Linked DNA regions of Cricetulus griseus. The main gene of each other region encodes a partner of the protein of the gene in region 3 in a complex. Links are inferred from orthologs where the notes say so. Each region holds a gene or a part of one and is shown on either strand. Other genes may lie near its edges. The genes, in order: Taf1a, Polr1b, Rrn3 and Polr2k.

The links.
Region 1: Rrn3 (region 3) and Taf1a share a complex: the UniProt entries of both Homo sapiens proteins name them as parts of the pol I pre-initiation complex. The link is inferred for Cricetulus griseus from reciprocal best matches to the Homo sapiens genes RRN3 and TAF1A.
Region 2: Rrn3 (region 3) and Polr1b share a complex: the UniProt entries of both Homo sapiens proteins name them as parts of the pol I pre-initiation complex. The link is inferred for Cricetulus griseus from reciprocal best matches to the Homo sapiens genes RRN3 and POLR1B.
Region 4: Rrn3 (region 3) and Polr2k share a complex: the UniProt entries of both Homo sapiens proteins name them as parts of the pol I pre-initiation complex. The link is inferred for Cricetulus griseus from reciprocal best matches to the Homo sapiens genes RRN3 and POLR2K.

Annotation. Positions count from the first base shown.
Region 1 is NC_048598.1:11,100,643-11,105,022, forward strand, and holds the start of Taf1a (TATA box-binding protein-associated factor RNA polymerase I subunit A), read right to left. Parts: upstream 3,200-4,380; 5' UTR 2,895-3,199; exon of another isoform or gene 2,541-2,894; intron 1,667-2,540; exon of another isoform or gene 1,657-1,666; 5' UTR 1,655-1,656; coding exon 1,531-1,654; intron 1-1,530. UniProt on the Homo sapiens protein: Component of the transcription factor SL1/TIF-IB complex, which is involved in the assembly of the PIC (pre-initiation complex) during RNA polymerase I-dependent transcription.
Region 2 is NC_048599.1:49,450,579-49,454,527, forward strand, and holds part of Polr1b (DNA-directed RNA polymerase I subunit RPA2), read right to left. Parts: intron 3,543-3,949; exon of another isoform or gene 3,249-3,542; coding exon 3,078-3,248; exon of another isoform or gene 2,363-3,077; coding exon 2,206-2,362; exon of another isoform or gene 2,171-2,205; intron 1,760-2,170; exon of another isoform or gene 1,188-1,759; intron 1-1,187. UniProt on the Homo sapiens protein: Catalytic core component of RNA polymerase I (Pol I), a DNA-dependent RNA polymerase which synthesizes ribosomal RNA precursors using the four ribonucleoside triphosphates as substrates.
Region 3 is NW_023276807.1:74,982,324-74,986,272, forward strand, and holds part of Rrn3 (RNA polymerase I-specific transcription initiation factor RRN3), read left to right. Parts: intron 1-866; coding exon 867-997; intron 998-2,226; coding exon 2,227-2,411; intron 2,412-3,949. UniProt on the Homo sapiens protein: Required for efficient transcription initiation by RNA polymerase I (Pol I). Required for the formation of the competent pre-initiation complex (PIC).
Region 4 is NC_048603.1:15,288,233-15,292,819, forward strand, and holds the start of Polr2k (DNA-directed RNA polymerases I, II, and III subunit RPABC4), read right to left. Parts: upstream 2,924-4,587; 5' UTR 2,827-2,923; intron 1,752-2,826; 5' UTR 1,743-1,751; coding exon 1,682-1,742; intron 1,132-1,681; coding exon 1,039-1,131; intron 1-1,038. UniProt on the Homo sapiens protein: DNA-dependent RNA polymerase catalyzes the transcription of DNA into RNA using the four ribonucleoside triphosphates as substrates.

The DNA.
Region 1 (4,380 bases), on a different chromosome or scaffold from region 3:
CAGGCTAGTCAAGGCTGATCAACAAGACCCTGTCCTGAGGAGGCCTGGAGGGGGAAGACTATAGCATAGACCTAATTAATGCACACTACAAACACCAGGATCTGCAGCCTTCAATACTCAAAGAGGTTGTGAAACCAGCAGTACTGGAATTATCTGAAAGCTAATTAGAAACAGAGAAAAGAAAGAGAGAAAGAAGGAGAGGAGAGAAAGATGGGAAGGAAAGGGATGGAGCCTCTCATGCCTCAGCTGGCTCTCTGAAGCAATCACTGCATTTAGTAAGAGCTACTAAGCTGCTTAGATCACAATTCCAGGCAACCAGCCCACAAAACTGGCACAGTATCTGTTCAAATAGCCTTTATCCACCTAAGAGAAGACTGCTCTCAGGCCAAGTTCCATCTACCTCTTTATGTTTAGAAGTACAGGACTTGAGATCAGACAGACCTGATTTGCTTCCTTATATCATTACTTAAGAGTTTAATTTCGCCACAGAGAAACCTGGGGGAGGGGGGGCGAGTTTAATTTCTTTGCAATTCAGTGTCCTCACATTTACTGAGGACTAAATTACTGGGAATATAAAACTAAATGAATTTTTCTTTTTAAATGGGAGCTAAATTCTTGGAGCCAAGAAATGCATGGAGAGTAATAAGAAAAGTGCAGGTTTAAGTGTATTTAAAGGTCTGACCCATGCAGCATTCCACCACGGCTTCTTCATATAGTCCTATAGACGTTAACCCACTAAAAGCATTGTCTGCATCTACATTAGATTAAAAATGAAGAAAGATGCCTTTTAAACCTATTACATCAATGCTATAAGGAACCATTTCCATTAAACTCAACAGAAATTTCCTTAACATTTCCTATGTATGTGCTCCTCAATGAGACCACATTTTCTTCATCTGTACGTCCCCAATATTCTGCCAATGCCAAATACAAGTGCTCAGTAAAGAGAACTATATTCATATATATAAATTTATACATGTGTAGTTCATAATATAGACTGTGTATTATTTTTTAAAAAGGGCCAGGCCATGGTGGTGCACGCCTTTAATCCCAGCACTCAGGAGGCAGAGGCAGGCAGATCTCTGTGAGTTCGAGACCAGCCTGGTCTACAAGAGCTAGTTCCAGGACAGCCTCCAAAGCCACAGAGAAACCCTGTGTTAAAAAACCAAAAGAATAAAATAAAATTTAAAAAAAAAAGCTACTTCTTCTAATTTCCTTTTTGTCTCCAGCTGTAAGAAAGAAAAGGGAAACCCCCATCTAATCTTATTACAATATTAGGCACCCTGATTCACACCTGTAACCCTAGCACCTGGAGACTAAGGCAAGAACAACCAGGAGTTCTAAACCAGCCTGAGCTACATGAAGTGAGTTCCAGGCAAGCCAGGGATAAACAGCAAGACCCTGTCTAACAACAATAACAACAACAGAAATTAAGGGGGAGGAAAAATGACCTGGCTTGGTCATTCACTTTGTAGCTGTGTTCAGTCTCGACACTTAGTTGCATTAAAGTGAAAGTGCTGTCCCACTTACCTACAGTCTCTATTCGCTCCTGAAGCCACGGGAAATGCATTCCTGGATTAGAGAACACAGAGGTTTCTCTCTTGCCATCCTCTGCCAAAGCAAGCTTTGTCAATTCTTCATCGAAATCGCTCATATCTATTCCAAACTGAGAGTATCAGTTAGCGTCAGTACACGTTAACCCACAGGCACCTGACTTGAGCTGAAAAGCAATCTTTTCTTGTAGCAAAGTCACCTGAGCAGCAGGGCCCATTGTATCTGACAGTTCTTTTCAAGGAAACACTGAATCTGTTTAAGTCAACAACAGCCTAAACTCAAGTCACATTTTTTAAAAATAGAAGTCTGGGGACTAGAGACGGCTCAGCAGTGAAGAGCACTTGCTGCTTTTCTAGAGGACCTGTGCTGGTTCCCAGCACCCATGTTCATGATCTTCTGGAACCCTAGTCCCAGGGCATACAACCACCTTCACAACAGAACATAGGCACACACATGCAGGCACACACCCACACATGTAAAATAAAAAGTTTCTAAAATCCATAAAACATAATACTGCAAAGCTCTGAACCAAGAACATACAAAAATGAGACATCCTTAATTACAAAGTAAAAAAGCTAAAGCTACATAAAGAAACTGAAGAATACATAACACAATATAGCAAGTACAGTAACAGCAGGAGCTAGTATTTACTGGGACTTAACTACATACTTAGACTATAAAATATCTAATTTAATCGCAGCAGCAACCCTATTCTCTCCCACTTAGTAATGAAAACTGTAGGACTTGCTGGGTGGTGGTGGCAGAGGAAGGAAGGAAGGAAGGAAGGAAGGAAGGAAGGAAGGAAGGAAGGAAGGAAGGCTGAAGGACTTATACAAAATACGTAACATGACCAAAAGGAGTGAAGACAGGAGTCTAGCAAATGCAGAGCACACAGACTAGCTGGTGTGACCAAAAAAATGGCTAGGAGGTGGGCAGGGGGCCATGGCAAATAAATGACTCTACAAAAGCAGCCATATGCCACTGACCTTGGATTGAACTGTCGAAAGGGTGCAGACCCCAGTTCTGAGTACCTATCCGGTATTGAAGCTTCGGGTACTGCGATTTAGAATTCCACCAAACGCCCCTCCTTTCTGCAATCCTACGGCGCCACCCTGGCTCCGGACACCTTCAGACTGGTCCAGGGTGAGTGCTCTGGCGCTGCTGGTGTGTGTGTGTGTGTGTGTGTGTGTGTTTTCCGCGACGCTGGAGACGGGCCCGGGTCTCGAGCCTGCTGACTGGCAGCAGCGTCTCCCTGCGGCGCGGGAGGCTGAGGGTGCGTGGTTAGTCACCGCGCCGCGGGGAGGGCGCAGGGCCAGCCCCGGGGTGCTGCTCCACCTCACCTGGGGGCGGCCGGCCCCGCGAGCGCGCACTAAGCCTTGTAGGAAAGCCGACTCCACCGTGGGGCGCCAAAGCCTGAAGCGACGCCTCAATTCAGTGAGGTCGGCCCCACGGACGCTGCGGACGCCTGACGCGAGCCCCGAGTCCTCAGACTGGCGGCGGCGGCGCCGCCACGGTAACCTAAACCTCCCGGCCCGCAACTGACGCTCCCAGAACCGCGGGGCGCTCACACAGCTCTCCCCGGCGCCACGCTCGCCCGATCGCACGCCGCGGGCTGTCAGGGAAAACCCTCTCCGGAAGTCCTCAGCGAGCGCTTCCTGTGAGCCTGCGCATAACCAGCCGGCCGGCGTTCGGGTAGCGCGCTGCGTAGCCCCGCCCTCCGTCGGGCGTGGCCTGGGGGGAGAGCCCAAGAGCCTCGCCAGAAGAGGCTTGACCCGGAAGTGGGTGTTAGCTTCCGCCTTCGCCTTGGTTTGGCCCTGATTACACCTTGATCTGTGCCAGCCAGAAACTGGAAGGTTCCCATCGCAAGACCGGAGTGTGGCCAGGGGGTGCATTGCCGATTCTGATTGCTGCTCTGAAAGTTATTTTCATTACAGTTTTTAGCATCTTGCTGCCTTCACAGTTGGAGCAAGAGTCCGTGTTTCGCTTATCAACGTGGAGTGTTCTGGCGATCGGCCTGGAGTCCGCTCTCAAGAGGGACATTGGCAGCCGTGTATTGATTATGGAGGTGGATAGTGGAATTGCAGTGTCGTATGAGAAGGGGGACGCTGCGAGGGAAGATGACCCTGAAGACTGGCCTGAGATGTTTGGAAAAATACTCTGTGAAGGACTGATCGGTTAATGGGCAGATTATTACACAGATGTGAACAAGCATTAATGAGTAAAAGCTAAAGGGAGGCAACCTTAAAGTCATTGGGAAAAAAACAATAGTTCATAGTTAAGGCTGCATAAATGATGCAATGGATTCCTCCTAAACTCCGAATTTACTGCTTGAAAATAAGAGTCTGAGTTCCATGGAAATTAGCCGGTCTATCATTACTCCTTGCCCTTAAGCCTGTTTTGGTTTGGTTTTGTTAGAACCCCGGAAAACCTCAGGCCTCCAGGGTCTCAGCCCAGGACTGTGGTCACCCTAATCACCAGGCAGATTCGAAAGCTTGCTGCAAACTGCACAAGGCTTTATTGTTTAACGAGCTCGGATAGCAAAGACAGCTCGAAGAGTCTGCATAGAGATCTTATAGGGCAGCAATAAGGGGAGTGTCTAGGGGTACACACAGGCTCAGGATTGGTGTGCCTCCAGGCTTGGAGGGCTTGCCCTGTGTTGATTGGCCAACTGGTTGTTATGGCCCATAGGCCCTCCCAGGGTGGTTGCCATGCTCTTCAAGCCATTGCTGTGCACTTGTCCATAAAGCACACCCAGAGCCGTAAAGCATAGCGCCACCAGCTAACTTCTGATTGGTTCCTTGCCACAGGCAGGCATCTGACTTTCTA
Region 2 (3,949 bases), on a different chromosome or scaffold from region 3:
GGTGGCTCACTACCATCTGTAGTGAGATATGGTGCCCTCTTCTGGCCTGCAGGCAACATGCAGACAGAACACTGTACACATAACAAATAAATAAATCTTAAAAAAAAAAAAAAAAGATTCAGGAAGCAAAGGGTCTCAACTGTGTCCACATGCCCACTCGCCAACCACTCATTGCCCAAAGACTGGAGATTTGCTGAAAGTAGTCAGAAACTGAGAGGAATTTATATTTGAAACAAAGCAACCACTTTAGTCAACAATTGTATAGTTTTCAGTTTTTAAGTTATTTTAGAGATCTCTGGTTACTGTCTTGAAGAATCGAAGAACAGAGTTCAGAGCACAGGGGCTACTGGAAAGTAGGGGGCATTTCTTTTCTTTCTTTCCTGTTCTGAAGGTAGATTACAGAGGAGAGCCTTCACTCTGCACATACACTAAGTCTAAACCTTTGGTGGGCAATGAATTGCTCATGATGCATGAGACTGAGCCAAGTAGACTGAGACTAAGAACCAAGTTAAATAGCAGTCAAGACCAACATCAGCTCTTTCAGAGAGGCCTAGCTTGAAGCCCTATCACTCACAGTAGTTGACATAGTAATTACTGGAGACACAAACAGTAAACATAACCCACACCCAAGAAAACTACACTCAATGGATAGCAATCTTGGGACTATCCAGATGTTTGAACAGGCAAAAGGTAACTTTATATCACCCATTATAACATAATGAATATGTGATTATATATAATCAATATAATGACGATTATAGCAAGCTTAATATATACAGCAAAATATGTCCATTGTGATCAGTAAACAAAACCCTCAAAAACAAACAAACAAAAAACCAGAAATTGTAGTCTAAAGACTAAGACAATAATTCATTAGATGACAGCATGATGTCAGTGAACATGATCATCCATCAAAAATTAGAAACAGGAAACCAGAGTGGCCATTTGCATCTGTAACCCGAGTGCTGTTGGGAGTGTTGCTGGGGCTGGCTGGCTGGCTGGTAGCCTAGCTCCAGGCTCAATGAGTAAACCATGTCTCAAAGGAATAAAGAAAACAGTAACAGAGCAGGACACCAGCTATCTTCCTCAGGTCTCCACGTGCACACATGTGTACATAGAACACCATACACACAGACACAGACACAGAGACACAGAGACACAGACACACTCAGACACACACACACACACACACACACACACACTGTCTTAGTTACAGTTTTTATTGCTGTGAAGAGACACCATGACCATGGCAACTCTTTTTTTTTTTTTTAAGATTTATTTATTTAATGTATATATGTGCGCTCTATTTGCACATATGCCTTTACACCAGAAGAAGACATCAGATCCCACTATAGGTGGTTGTGAGCTACTATGTGGTTGCTGGAATTGAACTCACAACCTCTGGAAGAGCAGCCAATGCTCTTAACTGCTTAGCCATCCCTCCAGCCCTGCTGAAGGATACTGAATTCAAGATCAGCTCAAGGAAGGTTGTAGGGGTTAGGAGCAAATGCCGAAAAGCTTTAATTTCAAGAGCACTGGAAGTGATAACTATGTGAGTAACTGTAATGGCTTGAACCCCTCAAGAGTGAAGGCATAAGATCTCAGACAAACTCAAGTCATTTTCCTGGAAAATGTAAATGTGAAGAACGACACAAACAAGCCAAAGGGCTCTTCTGCACCAAAGGACACAAATGTGCGCACTAGCAGAACACAAGTGATCCTGGACCCAGCCTTGGATTCTCCACCTCCTCCAAATCAAGTAAGGACTAAAATATGGAGTGTGTGCTGCTCTTGCAGAGGAACTAAGTCCAGTTCCCAGCATCCATGTCCCGTGGCTAACAACTGACTATAACTCAGCTCCAGAAGGACTGAATGTCTCTAGCTTCTGCAGACACCTGCACATACATGCATGCAGTACTCACACATTTATGCGGAACCTCCTGATTTTGACAAATATCCCTCACTAAGAAAGCTCTTATGGTTGGGAATATGCACTGAAGTGTGGAGGGGGCACTGTGCCTACAATCTTCAAGTGAAAAAGGAAAGTATGAGCCAGCAGAATGTTAACAGAACAGGCGACTGGCCGGCTGGCATTCTTTATGCTGTTCTTGAAACTTCTCAAGTTTGAGATGATTTCAGCTTAACTTACACACGCTTTTTGTGTGTGCAGGTACCAACCACCACCACCACCTCCACCCACCTTACCCATCTGGCACTGGTACATGTTCCGAGGACTCTGGTTATGATCAGAGAAGGGGATGAAGTTGGCGATCACACTCAGCAGGCTGTGAGGGAAGAGCTCCTGGTGTGTGGAAATTCCAGAAAAAACCTCATCCTCAAAAATGGCAACGTTCATGAAGAGCTGGAGGAAAACAAGAGTAAGGAAGACAGAGGCATAAAATAACTGTGGCTGTCTCGCTGCTTCCCAGGGGTTAGTGCTCAAGGCCACAAAGAGTCCCTCCCCAATCATGAATGCCGGCTACTGATATGGGGAGCTGCTGTTGAGACCCAGGGTGTGTGCCTGCTAAGAGCTCCAACACTTTCCCCTTGGATATCTCATCCTCTATCTACCCTGTCCAATTGTGAAGAGCCAAAGAGGAAGACAAATATTTATTTTGGACAGGGTTTCTCTGGCTATCCCATAACTCACTCTGTAGATCAGGCTGGCCTCAAACTCAAAGATCCACCTACCTCTGCCTCCCAAGTGCTGGGATTAAAATGCATCACCACCTCCAGTTTCATTTTTTTTTTCTTTTTAATAAAATTTTTAAAGTAGGCACAAACTCCAGTTTGGCAATGGCAAAGATGTGGACGACAACTGTGATGCCTCAGTCTTCACCAGCTGGGGCAGAGCCAGGTGCCAAGGAACCACGAACACCGGGCAGGAAGGACAGGCAGTTATGTGAGCACCAAGCCTCCCTCAGGTTCCCAACAGTATGGCAAGACACTAAAACTACTTAGTCCTGGGCAATGGGGGTCAGAAAAGTGAGCTGGATGTTCTGTCAAATGCTTTTAAAAGTGAAAGCCAAGTCCCTGAAAACTGTTCTACATAAGCACACACCCCAGCGGGTACCCACCTGTTCCATAGTTCCAATGAGCTCTTCTTTGCCCAGCTCCAAGTTCTGCACAGGCCTCACCAGCCGGCAGGGAGTTGTGAAGAGGAACAACCCCGGGTATAGGCTTGGTTTTCCTGTCATGGGAACCAGGGCCACCTCCATCCAGGGAGGAATTCTCTTTTCTCTCAACACCTGTTTCAACAGAACAGAGTTTAATGAAGAACAAATGTATGTTTTACCCCACCCTCCCTGCCACCAGAGTCAGGTAGAATGGGAAAGGGAAAGCATCTAAGAAATTACATCATCCTGGTAATAAACCCAGAACCCCAAGCCACAGCTGTCCATCCCAATCTCACCCAGCCCACAAGGGAAATGGCAAAAAAGGCAAGTTGATTCTCCGATGTCTAAAATATGGATTAATGAATTTCTTTTCAAACAATCACATGAAAAGTGTCTTACATTTGAAAATTAAAAAACAAAACAGAATGGGGTTGCTTCGATGACTACATACTAAGAGTACATAATGGCAGGCACTGTGCTCACATGTGCATGCCCAAACACAAACAGGAACACATACACAATTTTTTATTTTATTTTTTTTTTAAATCATAAAACACAAAAAAAGAAACAGGGCTGGAGAAATGGCTTGGTGATTAAGAGCACTTACTGCTCTCATAGAAGCCAGGGTTCAGTTCCCAACACCCATGTCAGGTGACTTATATTTGTGGAGAACTTGACTTCCAGGGATCCAGCGCCCTCCTCTGGCCTTCACAGGCACTGCATGCATGCACAAAAATAAATCTTAAAACCCAGTTAAAAAATTCATTGGCGCATGCCTTTAATCCCAGCACTTGGGAGGCAGAGGCAGGCGGATCTCTCTGTGAGTTCGAGGC
Region 3 (3,949 bases):
TAGTGATGGCTGTGGGTTGCCTTGTAGTAAGTGCTTCTGGAGGTGGGTGGGTGGGTGGCAGAAAGGAAGGAATAGAGATAGGCTAGGAGAAAAGGCTGAGGGACCTTCAGGAAAGATCTAAGGTGATCCTGTTCACACCTAGAGGTGTGGGGTCCACAGGGAGTTGGAGATATGGTGGGATCAGGGGATCGAAGAAGTAGGGTACATTAAGTTACAAAATTGAAGAGAGACAGAGATGAAAGGGCTAGGTATACCCTGTGTATGGATTCAGAGTTGGAGGTAGAGGGGCTCCTGCAAGCAGGTTGTCACTGAGAGATCTTAATGGAGAGATCTTAATGTGACTCACCTATCCTTTCAGGTATGGCCTCTGGGGGCCTTTGGGATAGAAAGTATTTCTAGGTGTGGGGGCTGACACAAAGGGATGAGGATGGGTTAGAAGGGGGTGGTGTGCTGAGAAGGTCCATAGGGAGAAGGAAAGGTGCATGCATGCCAAGGCATGGCTGGAGTCCCGGAGGAATAGAGATGGAGGGAGGAGAGGCTGTAGCCGGCTGCTACAGGGCTGGGGATGAGCCTGGAGAGACTGTAGTGGGTGACAAAGAGAATGGAAATAGCCTACCTGAGTCCTAGCCCCATGTGGTTCACTGGGTTCCCAGTTATCAGTGTTTCTAGGTAACAGTGTCTAACACAAAGGGATGAGGGGTGATAGGAGAGCTGGGTCTACTAGGGTTTTGCTTTTAAATAAGAACTGTGACCTCTCTATTCCTTATTTAGCAGTATAATTGCATTGTTAGGTAATGCCTTCAGGGTGCTGAAAGCCAGAATAATTTCAGCATTAGACATATCAAGCCAGCAGCCTCTTGTTACAGGGATTTGCAGAAGCATTTTTGGAACATCTTTGGAAAAAGTTGCAGGATCCAAATAACCCCGCCATCATCAGGCAAGCTGCTGCGAATTACATTGGGAGCTTTTTGGCAAGAGCTAAATTTATTCCTCTTATGTAAGTAACCTAATTTTCCAAATGCTTTTTTTAATGTTTTGCTGTAGGGAGATTATAATATTGTCTCAAGTCAAAGAAATAGGTCTTATTTTTTTTATCTGTCTTTGTAAAGCCAGGGGGGGAATCTGTTGACTATAATGCAAGGTGCTTTTATTTCTAAGAAGTGGTTTGAGAAGGACAGGTCTCTATTTGGATAATAGGTACATGAGGCATCTGTTTGTGTTTTGAACCTGAAAGCCTGTCTCTGTTCATGGGTAGCACCGTGTTGTATATTGCTTGATATTTTTTTGTAGGTTTGTTGTTTTTCATTTGCCTTCCAAATTAATTGTGTCTGTTTGGTCTAAACAAAACCCTTTTTAAAGAAATTAGGATGGGATGGAGCTCAGTGGTAAAGCACATTCGACACTTGCAAAGCCCTGGGTCCCACCCCCAGCATTAAGACTCAGGAGACTGGTTTCTTCAGGGACTCCACAAGAGACTGGCACAGATGCTGCTAAGCCATCCCCCAATCAGCTTAGTCTTGTGGTTCCAGTTTCTGAGTCCAGATGGGAAGAAGCATGATCCTTAGCCACAGCACTGTCTGGCTGGGAGCTAAGCCAGGAAGTCTTGGCTGAGTTGGAGCTCAGCTCCATCCCTGAAAGTATTTTTGTCTTTTGTTTTGTTCCATTTTGTTTTTTGAGTCTTGCTCTGGAACCCAGGCTGGCCTCAGCTCCTACCTCCTTCAGTCTTCTAAGGTGGGGAATTACAGGCCTGTGCTCCTGGGCCTCGCTCCTTGGGACATCCCTAAGGCCTCTTGCTCTGCCCAAGTAAGCTCTGCCTCACTGAATTGGAAGGCATTCTTTAGTCCCAGTACTGGGAAAGCAGAGGTAGAGGCTCTCTGTGAGTTCAGGGTCAGTCTGGTCTGCAGAATGAGTTCCAGGACAGTCAATGCTACACAGAGAAACACTGTCTAAAGAAAAAAAAACAAAAACCAAAAAAAAAAAACTGAAAACAATAAACAATTGGAAGGCTTCCCACCTTCTGTCCTTTTCCTTCTGTTTCTCTGCCGATGGGTAAGGTTTTTGGTGCTGGGATGGAACTCAGGACCTCATGTTTGTGAAGCAATTGCTTACCACTGTGCCTGTGGGTCGTAGTTGAGCCTTATATAATGGATAGTGAAAGACAGGTGTGTGTTTCTGTCTCTAGCTTTCTGATGAATCCAGTAACACTGACTTTTCTTCTCTTTGCAGCACCGTAAAGTCATGCCTGGATCTTTTGGTTAACTGGTTGCACATGTATCTTAATAACCAGGATTCAGGAACAAAGGCTTTTTGTGATGTTGCACTCCATGGACCATTTTATTCAGCCTGCCAAGCTGTGTTCTACACTTTCGTTTTTAGACACAAGCAGATTTTGAGTGGAAACTTGAAGGAAGGTCAGTAATGTGGGTTCAGGCTGGGTTTTCTTACTGTCCTTGGACTGTCAGTGCTGTACTGCTTGCTTTGGGTTGATGTTTACTTTTAAATGTGTGAGGGGCTTGATGAGGGTTTGCTGCCACAAGTGCAGCTGTGGCACCATGGCCTGCAAAGGAGCCCATCGTAGACAGGGGCAAGACTCTGCAAAGGAGGCCATTGTAGACAGGGGCAAGACTCTGCAAAGGAGGCCATTGTAGACAGGGGCAAGACTCTGCAAAGGAGGGGGCAATCATAGACAGGGGAAAGACTATACAAAGGAGGCAATCGTAGACAGGGGTAAGACTGGGTTCACTTCAAAAACGAGCAACTTCTATTTTCCCCCACTGCTATTCATGTATTGTTTAGCCAGCTACTAGAGAAACCACTGCAAAGGAGTCAGAGCAAAGGCTATCTCTGATCCCCTCATTAGAGTTATTCCTTCTTCGCTTCTCTGCCCTTGTGGCCTTGTTTTGCCCCAGAAGGACATTCCTCATAGTTCAGTGGTTCTCAACCTTCCAACCTTTAACACGGTTCTTCATGCTGTGGTGATTCCCAACCATAAAATTATTTTTGTTTCTACTTTATAACTGTAATTTTGCTGCTGTTATGAATTGTAATGTAAATATCTGTGTTTTCGATGGTTTTTTTAGAGGGAAGGGTCCTTCAACCCCCAATGGGGTCACAATCACAGGTTGAGAACAAGTGTCTTAGGCTTTATCTCATGCCTGCAGTTTTCTGAAGTCAAGGGGCCATATTTGGGTCAGGGGTTGTGCCTGGAACCCAATAAGTGTACATACATACATACATACATACATACATACATACATACACACACACACACACACACACGCACACACACATACATTTGGGTCAGGGGTTGTGCCTGGAACCCAATAAGTGTACATACACACACACGCACGCACGCACGCACGCACGCACGCACGCACGCACGCACGCACGCACGCACGCACGCACGCACGCACGCACACACACACGCGCGCGCGCGCGCGCTGCATGCTGTGGAGGTCAGAGGACAACTTGCAGGAGGGAGTCAGTGCTCTTCTAATATGTGTATCCTGGGGATCAAACTTGGTTGCCAGATTTGGTGGCCAGCACCTTTATTTGATAAGCCATCTCACTAGCCTTAGGCTAGGAGTCTTTATTAGAGAGGAAATACCTTTTGCAGTCCAGCACATCTATTTCTTTTTAGAACTTATTTTATGTTTATGGGTATTTTACCTGCATGCATGTCTGTGTACCATGTACATGTAGTGACTTCAAAGGCCAGAACTGGATGTCAGATTTTTGTGACTAGTTTTCAACAGTTGTTAGCTACTATGTAGATACTGGGAACTAAACCCTGGTCCTTCCTCTGTAAGAGCAACAGAGATAGGCCACTCAGCCTCCACCATAACTATTTGTAAATTTTAAAATTGTTTTGAGTCATGTTCACACTTGGTAGCCCAAGCTACTTTGGAACTCCTATAGTCCTCTTGCCTTAGTCTCCCAAGGGCTGGGA
Region 4 (4,587 bases), on a different chromosome or scaffold from region 3:
GTCTGTGTCAGTTACACTGAAACAATTTCAGTATTTGGACTAATTTGTAGGCCTATTTTCCACTAGGTTATTAATTTCTCCTCCCATACTTTAGATTACCCATAAGCTAACAATCAAGAGTGACTACTTCTAACAAAGAATTCCTGAAAAAACTAAAAACATTTACATAAACCCAAATTGATTAATTTTTTAATTACTTAGAGCCCATAATGAATGGCACGAAAACACTAATCATGTTTACTTAAAAAAAAAAGAGCTGGTGTACAAAAGGACTTTGGGAGCCCATCCCACGTGGAGGGATGCTCTCTCAGCCTGGACACATGGGGGAGGGTCTAGGCCCTATCCCAAACGATATGACAGACTTTGGGGATACCTCATGGAGGGCCTTACCCTCCCTGGGGAGCAGAGGGGGGGATGATGTGGTGAGTTGGTGAAGGGCTAGAGAGAGGAGGGAGCAGGGATTGACAATCGAAGTAGGCTTGTTTCTAATTTGAACTAAAAAAAAAAAAGTAAAATAAAAGCTAAAATCACTTACAGGGTTTTTTAAACACACACACACACACACACACACACTTGGGTCCTTTGTACAGGTGGAGGTCGGAAAAAGGGATCAGACCCCCGAAACTGGAGTTACAGAGGATCATGAGTAATTATGTTGGTGCTAGAAACAGAACACAGGTCCTCTGGAAGAACAGCCGATGCCCTTACCTGCCTGCTGACGAGTCTCTCTAGCCCCTATTTGTTTTTTTTGACACTGAGTCTCACTTAGTAGTTCTAGCTGGCCTTGAACTCACAAAGCTCTGCCTGCCTCTTTTCTCCAAGTTTGGTGAAAAATAATTCATATTAAAATAATATACATTTACGTCCTTCAGAGCCCCCCACATTCTCAGTTAATAAACTCTTCATTAATAAAGTCACATTCAATCTGCTTAGAAAAATAAACAACCCAAAAGTTGCTACTTTTGTCAGAACTTGGTCTTTATCAACCGAGTATTAGTTATTCCTCTTTACGTTTAGAAAGCCCAGTCAGAAGGATACATCTTTTTGTCCTTTTCTTGTACATTATTCTGTATCCACATTCTCTGCATCTGATTGGATCCCTGGACTTTATTTCATTTTCCGTGTGACACTCTAGGGAATAAAACACGTTCAGTCAATGCCTGAAAGAGAAACACTACAGGGAACCAAATATAACCACAGACTTCGCCAGAGCAAGTCAAAGCCCCGAAACTAAATACACCAAGGAGGAAAGAAAAGAGCTGTCGGCAGCGTACCTTTTCCTGATGAAAAGACAAATCTTAACGAGGGACTTTTACATTAATGATGCTAAAGTGTTTCACTTGAACTCGCAGAGATCCCCCTGCCTCTGCCTCCTGAGTGCTCCGCTTTATAACTTTGAAGATCAGTACTCATATATGGAAAGTTGAGGTAAAATGTTCCTACTTAAGCAGGGCATTGGTGGCACATACCTTTAATCCCAGCACTAGGGAGGCAGAGGCAGGGGGATCTCTGTGAGTTGGAGACCAGCCTGGTGTACAGAGTGAGTTCCAGGATAGGCTCCAAAGCCACAGAAAAACCCTGTTTCAAAAAAACAAAACAAAAGCAAAAAAAAAAAAAAGCCAAACAAACCAAAAAACCAAAACAACAACAAAAAACGTTCCTACTTAAATGTTAATCTTACCTCCGCAAATATATATCATCGGCTGCTGCTTTGGGGGTTGGACGTCTTTCTGCGCGTCCATTGCTAGTGCCTGAAATCAGAGCCAAAGCTTGAATAACAAGATCATCACACAAAACCAACCAGGCTCCCTTTTCCCCAGCAGCTACGCAAGGTCCTGATTCCGGGGTGAAGAGAAAATCTCAGGTGTAGAATGTTTGCCCAGAACACAGCGGCTCGAGGATCAAACCCCAGTATTACAGAATGAGGGGGAAAAAAATCATAATTCCTTATTTGAAACCCCCCCTTCCCCACCAACTGTGGGCTGGGTCTGAAGGAGGAAACACATTCTCAACAACACAGAATCCATCTCGAAGGTCTACGACACTCTTGAAGGTGCCAGAGGGCATCACTCTTTACACTCGGGGAAACCGAGGCTAAGCACAGCTCTCTGTGTGCCCAGCGTCTCCCGACACTAAGAAGCAAAGGGGGGGGGGGCTGGAGAGATGGCTCAGAGGTTAAGAGCACCGGTTGCTCCTCCTGAGTTCAATTCCCAGCACACACATAGCAGCTCACAACTGTGTGCAACCCCAGTTCCAGGGCACCCAGCTGACATCCATGCAAAATACCCAATGCACAAAAAATAAAAATAAACTTAGAAACCCTGTCTCGAAAAACCAAACAACAAATAAACTAAAAAAAAAAAAAACCCACAAAAATCCGCTAACTCCGCCGGGGATCTTGTCATAAATCATTTTTTAAATTTATTTTATTTTATGTGCGTTGGTGTGAGGGTGTCAGGTCCCCTGGAACTGGAGTTGCAGACAGCTGTGAGCTGCCATGTGGGTGCTGGGAATTGAACCCGGGACCTCTGGAGGAGCAATCGGCGCTCTTAACCTCTGAGCCGCCCCTCCAGCCCAGTCACCGACCATTTATTTACGTTTATTTGGCTCTTTGAGAGGCTCCCCACTTGGTAGCCCAGGCTGGCCCGGAACTCACTTCATCGCCCAAGCCAACCCCAAAGCCCGGGCGTCCGTCTGCTGAAGGCGGCAGTCCCCTGCCTCCGTTTCCCGAGCGCCCAGGCGGCGTGGAGCCAGCTCTCCCGGGCACCCGGGAACTTTCTAAAACCTTCTAAAGCCAGTTTTTTTGCCCTCAGACCGATCTCTCACCTCCGCGGCTCCAAGCAGAGTCTCGGTACGCACACAAACGTTCCCCCGCGTCCTCAGTGACGGACTCACTACCGGCGCGGACCGCGCGCTTCCGGCGCTGCCTAATGACGCGCAGGAGCCCCGCCCCCGCCCCGTCCCCTCCGCCGCCGAGAGCCCGGGCTGGGCACAGGCGACGGCGGAAGCCGAAAGCAGCTCTCGCTCCGGCGGCGGTCGCGGGTTCGAGACTCGGGCTCGTCGCCATTTGCTCGTCGCCATTTGCTCGTCGCCGTTTGCACAGGGTTCTCTTTTGTTTGGCTGCCCTTCAGCGCGCGGCTCTCCCCCAGGCCCCGGAGATGTCAATTAAAAATACTTTTTTTCAGGACCGTTGGCTTAGCTCGGTGGCTCGCAGGGGTGAATCTTCAGGAAAACGGTCGCTTGAGCTGCTTCCTCCGCACACAGCCCAGCAGCCTGTTAAACGCTCGCCCTCAGCCACGCTACAAAGTCTCCCCAATCCTAGGGCGGTCAGGTGTGTCTGCCGGGCTAAGCCCCGGCTGTAGAGAAAGGGTGGTGTGGCTTCTCACTTGCTAGTGAAAGACTTAAAAATTAGCAAAGAAATATAGCCCAGATAAGGAAACTCTCCAAACTGAATGTAGGGCGGCCTAACTCGGAAACTAAGGCCACTATTAGGACTTAGGGCCTGGAATTTACCAGCCGCAAGCAATTACTCCCTTACAAGGCCATAATATAACTGGGTACCAAGAATTCCCAGATGGCCACCCTCCCCGAGGGGCTCATGAAAAAAACAGATTGCCCCACCGGCCAATGTGTCAATCATTAACAATTAAGTGTCCCTGTGAAACAAAGAGATAGGTACCATTTGCTCAAGCAAGCTAAGCATATCCTGAGGTCTGCAGGTTTTACAGCTGGTGGGTCAGGAGGCCATCTGATTCCCAGCCCTCTCCTCAAGACAAAGGGTCTCTTAGGCACCTGTGACTCTGGTCACACCCCTCCCTAAGCTTGTGGTTTTTGCCTTTAAAAAGGCCTGTGCCTGGGGGACGGGGCTGCTCTCTAGCCTGCATGCTGAGAGAGCCCCTTCGTACAAACGTCTACCTTTCATTAAAGCCTCTTGCTGTTTGCATCAAGTTTCCGACTCCTCATGATGATTGGGATGGCCGCAGTCCTGGGAAAGGATTCTGGAGGCCTGAGCTTCCAGGGGGCTTACATTAGACGTCTGAGATTTTAAGATTTCGTTGTTTCTTTGTTTTGTGTTTTTGGTTTTTTCGAGACAGGATTTCTCTGTAGCTTTGGAGTCTGTCCTGGCACTCACTCTGGAGACCAGGCTGGCCTCGAACTCACAGAGATCCGCCTGCCTCTGCCTCCTGAGTGCTGGGATTAAAGGTGTGCGCCACCACCACCCGGCTAAGATTTCGTTGTTACTTTGAGTTGTCTGTGTTAGTGCCAGCAGAGACCTGAAAAGGTCCTCGGAGCCCCTGGACTGGAGCTACAGACTATTAGAAGCCGCCCTACGTGGGTGCTGGGAACTGAACTTGGTCCTTTGCAAAAACAGCAAGTGGTCTTACATGCTGAGCTACCTCTCTAGCTCTTGTATTTCCTCCCTCCTCCCTCCCCCTCCCTCCCTCCCTCCCTCCCTCCCTGCCTCCATCCCTTCCTTCCTTCCCTGTGTTTTGTTGTTGTTGTTTTTTGTTTGTTTGCTTGTTTTGTTTTGAGACAGGGTTTCTCTGTGTATCCTAGCCGTCCCGGAACTCTCTGTAGACCAGGCTG